2 linked regions of the Sus scrofa genome follow. The protein of the gene in region 2 purifies or fractionates together with the protein of the main gene of each other region. This does not show direct contact. Links are inferred from orthologs where the notes say so. Each region holds a gene or a part of one and is shown on either strand. Other genes may lie near its edges.

Region 1 (3,227 bases), on a different chromosome or scaffold from region 2:
TGGCCCAGCCTGTGCAGGGAGCTGGGCAAGCAAGGCTGAACCACAGAGGGACCAGCACCTTTCACTAGGAAGAGGAGGACCGGTTTTCCACTGACACTTCCAGTGGAGCAGGTTATACCAGTTATATATGTAAAATATAAGACAAACTAAAGGGGCACAGACCAAAGGGTGAAGAGAATGGGATGAAGTTATTCCAGAATCATGTTATTCAAAGTGGGGTGGGACCAAGAGCAGCAGCAACAAAGAGCCTGTTAGAAATGCAGAATTGCAGGCCCCATCTTAGACTTCCTAATTCAGAAGGCGCCATTTAACAAGTTCCTCAGAGGATGTGTATGCACATCGAAGTTTGAAAACCACTAAGATTTCTTGAGGAAGAAGACTTCTAAAGGCATTGATGAACAAGAGGGGAAAGGTAAGGCAAGCCTCAGGTAGTTCCCCAAGGGAATAGGACAGGCTGGGGAGAAATAGAGTTTATTTGTTAGCACCCTGGATTGAATGCGTGAAGGAGCAGACAGGTTGATTGGCTGGGAGCCTTGAGACCAGCAATATGAATAGCACAGGTGGGCCTGAAGTCGCCATGCGGGCCCTCGTCGCTACCGCTATCATTCACCACCAGCTCCACCATTCCCCACCCTATCCTCATTCGCCCCAATCTCCCACTCCAGGCCTTCTCCAGACTTTAACTCTCAATAGCCAGGCTAGCTCGACCTCGCCTAGTTCAGTTCGATTTGGCCTAGTTCGGTTGCTAAGGCCTGGAGCTTCCCGGTTGCTGGGGGAGGGGAGGGAAATGATGTCACGTCCAGAAGGCGGGCTAACCAGACCTCTCCCTCCTCCCGATTGGTTGCCGGGAACTTGAGTAGATTCGCTTTCACGCGGGCTCCAGGGTTAGCCGTTAGTGTCTCTCCTCAGCTGTCCCCTGCTCCCCCTGACCGTCCTCTCCGCCCGAAGCAAAACTCTAATGACAGTGCTCAGTAGAGCTTAGCTTCGGAAGGAGAGGTGATTCGAATGGTCGGGCTACCGCCACCAGGAGAGGCACTTCGGCCGCCCAGGTACTTTTTGACTCGCTCGGGTATCCGTAGTTGGGACAGTGGCTCAAGCCGCGGGAATTGTGGAACTTATAGTTCGAATTAGTTCGGGGTTGGGAGGTAGGCTCGAATCCGACAGAGATTTTGAGGAGGGGGGAAAAAAAAGAGAGAACTTTAAGGACCGGAGGCCTGGATCCCAGAAGGACAGAAAAGAAGTCTAAATAAGATTCCTGCCAATAGCATTGTTTTGATTTTTTTTTCTTTTTTAATCAGGTGCTGATCTGAATCTGATCCATACCTTTCTGACCAAAACTGTTTACCCACGGTGGAAGGGACTGGGTACCCAAATGGAGACGCCACCAGTCAGTCCACTGGGAGAGAAGAACATTTCTCAACCGCAACAACGATGGAAAAAGAACTCCCAGAAGATCCTTGATTCAACTACTCAGATTAGGCAGCAGCCCCAAGACCCTTCTACTGAACTTCTTGAGGGGAGAGTGAGCCCAGATCCAGCCGGCCAAATTCTAGAAAATCTTCAAGAAATTGAAAAGCTGGCCGTTGGACGTGAAGGAGATTCTGATAAATCTCATGGACCAGCCAGTGAGATGCCAGAGCCCCTTCAAGCTTCTGAACTCTGGTACTGCCCCGATGGGAGCTTTGTCAAAAAGATCCTAATCCATGGCCACGGCTTGGACAAACCCAAGCTGGGCTCCCGCTGCCGGGTACAGGTTTTGGGATTTCCTTTGGGGTCAGGGCTGCCAGAGGGCTGGACAGAGCTAACTATGGGGTTAGGCCCATGGAGGGAGGAAACTTGGGGAGAGCTTGTAGAGAAGTGCTTGGAGTCCATGTGTCAAGGTGAGGAGGCAGAACTTCAGCTCCCTGGGCGCTCTGGACCTCCTGTCAGGCTCAAACTGGCCTCCTTCACTCAAGGCCGGGACTCCTGGGAGCTAGAGCCCACCGAAAAGGAGGCCCTGGCCAGGGAAGAACGTGCACGGGGCACAGAATTATTTAGAGCTGGGAACCCTGAAGGGGCTGCCCGATGCTATGGACGGGCTCTTCGGCTGCTGCTGACTTTACCTCCACCTGGCTCTCCAGAACGAACTGTCCTTCATGCCAATCTGGCTGCCTGTCAGTTGCTGCTAGGGCAGCCCCATTTGGCAGCCCAGAGCTGTGACCGGGTGCTGGAGCGGGAGCCTGGCCATTTAAAGGCCTTGTACCGAAGGGGGGTTGCCCAGGCTGCTCTTGGGAACCTGGACAAAGCAACTGCTGACCTCAAGAAAGTGCTGGCAGTAGACCCCAAAAATCGGGCAGCCCAGGAGGAGCTGGGAAAGGTGATCATTCAAGGGAAGAAACAAGATGCAGGACTGGCTCAGGGACTGCGCAAGATGTTTGGCTAATTAAAAGTTAAACCTTAAAAGAGACAGGAACCTGTGAATTGTGGTCTATGTTGTGAGTTTTGGGGGGAGGGGCCAGTGGGAGGATTTCACCCACATACTTTTACCAGCTTTTGCCTTCCTAGGGAAGGTAGCAGTGGTCTTAGTGTATGTACCTCTTTACCGTTTTACCATGAAAAAGCCTTATGGTCACGTGTGGTATATTTTGCGGGGCTTATCTATCTCCAAAGATGAACACAAGCTATCTAAACTTCTAAATTCAGTACTGTTTGGGGGAGACGGCGAACCTTCAAAACCCGGTACCTACGTTTCCTAGGCGCTTTCAGGCTGGGTCCGGCTTGGCGCACGCGCAAACTTCACTGCCTGGTATTGCGGAGGTGCTAGCCTCCGGGGCGCTCCTATTGGCCGGTCCTATACAGCCACCGCCTATATTGTCTCACGTGCTCAATACCCAGGTCTCTTACTGGTTGGGAGAGCTTCCGGGGCGTTCCCCCACTTTTGAGGAGCCAGCCGATTAGTTGATGATGGGAGAGGCGGGCCTTGGGAACTGTCTCGTGGTTGGGGGGTGGGGGGGAAAGATGGCGGAGCTGATGCTCCTCAGCGAGATTGCGGACCCGACGCGTTTTTTCACCGACAACTTGCTGAGCCCGGAGGACTGGGGTGTGCGGAGTGAGGCCTCGGGGAGGGGAGGGGGCTGTGGCATATTGTGCCCCTGAGGCACGCAGGAGGAAGCGGAGGCCCAAAGAGGAAGGCTGGACAGATACGGAATCCATCATTCTGAGGAAGGCGGAACAGGGGGGCTGGTGGT
Region 2 (3,029 bases):
TTTTTTTTTTTTTTTTCCTATGAGATAGGCACTATTTTTCCCTTTTACAGATGAAGAAGTTGAGATTTGGGAATATTAATTTACCCAGAGTCATCCAAGTAGGATGATCTTAATATCAAAAATCTATTCTTCCCACTTGGCCACTTCTACCTTGTTTAACTCAGCTCCTCCATGTCTGTGTTAATAAACTAATACCTAAGAAATCTTGCATTTGGGGGTAACTTTTTAACCCAAGAGCAGACTGCATCCCACCAGAGGTCCTCAAACCAAACGTAAAGCCACTCCCAGAAAACATGTGTCTCAGGTTGTTTTAGTTAGAAGGAATCGAGCTTCTTAATCTCTAGATTTCCTTGTTACCATGGCATTCTACTGATGAAAGTTTATTTTTTCAGGTTTTATACTTTGTGAAAGTATATTGTTTTGATAACCTTACTACAAAAGATCCGTCTGTTCCATTATTATGTCTTCATCACAGATGAAATATAAAACGTTAAATATAACTCTAGCCTGTATTATTCGTCCAGGACCACAGCTTTTGTGCAATAAGACTTCCTTGGACCAGGAGTAAGTGTCTGGTTTGGTATTCAGAGAATCCCGTGCTCAGAATCAGCAGTTTCTGGTGAATACTAACTTGTTATGGTTAGTTGCCCTCTACCCCACCTCCCAAAGAAAAATGTGATTTTTCTTTTGCAGTCGTCTACTACCAAGGAAGTTTCTAGCTAACTTAACTCAACCTAACACCACTAGACACTTGAATTTTCTTGGTCTCGCGTTGCGTTTTGCGTTGGGTGTTTAAAAGAGCTCTCACTTCCCTCTCAGCTTAGCACTGTGCGGAGACTGCTTTCAGAAAAGGCCACCCACGTGAACACTCGAGATGAAGACGAGTACACGCCACTCCATCGAGCAGCCTACAGCGGCCACTTGGACGTGGTCCGCGAGCTCATCGCGAACGGGGCAGACGTTCATGCCGTGACGGTGGACGGCTGGACACCCCTGCACAGTGCGTGTAAGTGGAACAACACCAGAGTGGCTTCTTTCTTACTGCAGCACGACGCGGACATCAACGCCCAAACAAAAGGCCTCTTGACCCCCTTACATCTTGCGGCTGGAAACAGAGACAGCAAAGACACCCTGGAACTCCTCCTGATGAACCGCTACATCAAACCGGGGCTGAAGAACAACCTGGAAGAAACGGCGTTTGACATCGCCAGGAGGACGAGTATCCATCACTACCTCTTTGAAATCGTGGAAGGCTGCACAAATTCTTCACCTCAGTCTTAACGGTTCTAAGAACTTTCTTAAGTTTCTACGTCCCAGTGCCTCCTTTTGTGTGAGATGTGAAGTATCCCCATAACACAAGGTTGCCGTCCAATGTCTTAAGACAGTGATTCCGTGGTACTCAAGATCCCACCCTTCCAAGTGGACTGCCTGACCTTGACGTCAACATATATTAGAAAGTTGTTTGGATCTATCCTCTAATGATTTCCGTGGAGTTTGTGCTTTTTATCACATCATTTTAACTTACCTATACTGAAAAACTTGTCACAGGTTGTACAGAAAACTAATGATATTTTTGGTGCTGACCCAAGAGAAATGTATTTTTAAATATCCCCATCCTAGATCTTTGTTGAGTATTTAGTATACTGACATGTATTTTTATAAGGTAAGGTAACTCAGAATTTCATTTAAAAGTCTTAAATACACAGGTGCAGTTCAGCAATCTTCTCTGCATTACCAATAGCCATTTGCTTTCATTGGAAACCGTAAGATTCAAGTGACTTACAAAAAAAAAAATCAAGAAACTTAAATCTTTGTCTTTTAGAACCTAGACCATTTCTGGGAAATAGTCAGCTAGGTGTTTAATCCACGAATGTTCTCTACTGGCCCACTGACCACAGTCTACACAGTCCTGTGGACCGTGCTACCTCGCCCTGTTCAACCTGCACCACCCTTCTTTCTGCTGGTGAGTCAGCAGGACCCTTCAGACACTCTCCCAGCCGTACCTTGGCCCAGGAGGCCAGCATATACCTGCTCTCCAGCTAGTTTCACCTGCCTGCTCCTGCTGATCTGGGCACGGCTCAGCTAGTCTCTCAAGTTCACAGGAAGTGTTCTTTTCCAGGGTCCTCTCACTGTACAAACCACACAAAGTGACAAGGGAAAGGGAATTCGAAGAGTGAAGGGATGATGATTCTATCGGAGCTAGAACCCCAAAGTGGCTCAAGCTCTTATTAAAGGCCACAGTGTGGATAGCAACAAAAGCTTAAATATAACTATTCCAAAAAAATAAAACATTTTGGACAACCAAAAAAAGCATGAATTCTTTTTTTACCTGTGTATCTCTTCCCTGGATCCACAGCATACATTATTTAGTATAATATGCATATATATAATACACATTTTATACATTTAATATAATATACATTTGGTATAACATACATTTATTGAGTATCTACTCTCTTCAGCAGCGGTTTCCCATTGCCTACTTAGCCCCTCTGTGACTAAACCAAAGGGTTTTCTCTTAACTTCCCAAAACCAGAACTAACACGGGAAAGGTAACTAAACCAGTAGCCCTTTGCTTTGGTTATTTTTGTGTGTGTATAGATATATGTGAGTTATCTAAAAATTATACATGTTACCAATTCACCGGAATTTTAAAAAACCAAGCAAAAAGTCAGTTGTAATTGCAAGGGGCAGTTTCTCCATTAAATGACAGAGTAGGAAACTGGAGTTCCCACTGTGGCTCAGCAGGTTAAGAATCCAACTAGTATCCATGAGGATGCGGGTTAGATCCCTGGCCTTGCTCAGTAGGTTAAAGGATCCAGCATTACCATGAGCTGTTGTGTAGGTTGCAGACGCAGCTTGGATCTCTTATTGCTGTGGCTGTGGTGTAGGTTGGCAGCTGTAGCTCCAACTCGACCCCAAGACCGGGAACCTCCATACCCTAAGAAGCAAAAATAAAAGAAAGAAAAGGAAATTTGGTTTAGTTATGATAAGAAGGATTTTGTTGGCTTTTAAAATAATGTAGACTA

What was found.
Region 1: the proteins of ANKRD49 (region 2) and FKBPL purify together in Homo sapiens (affinity purification with mass spectrometry; 4 studies listed by BioGRID and IntAct, counting the BioPlex papers as one, with this or other methods). This does not show direct contact. The link is inferred for Sus scrofa from reciprocal best matches to the Homo sapiens genes ANKRD49 and FKBPL.

What each region holds. Positions count from the first base shown.
Region 1 is NC_010449.5:24,171,456-24,174,682, reverse strand, and holds FKBPL (FK506-binding protein-like), read left to right. Parts: upstream 1-1,372; coding exon 1,373-2,422; downstream 2,423-3,227. Other genes in the region: ATF6B (cyclic AMP-dependent transcription factor ATF-6 beta), read left to right, coding at 2,941-3,079. UniProt on the Homo sapiens protein: May be involved in response to X-ray. Regulates p21 protein stability by binding to Hsp90 and p21.
Region 2 is NC_010451.4:26,640,211-26,643,239, forward strand, and holds the end of ANKRD49 (ankyrin repeat domain-containing protein 49), read left to right. Parts: intron 1-819; coding exon 820-1,281; 3' UTR 1,282-2,310; downstream 2,311-3,029. UniProt on the Homo sapiens protein: Induces HBG1 expression. May have a role in spermatogenesis where it promotes autophagy in response to serum starvation, via the NF-kappaB pathway.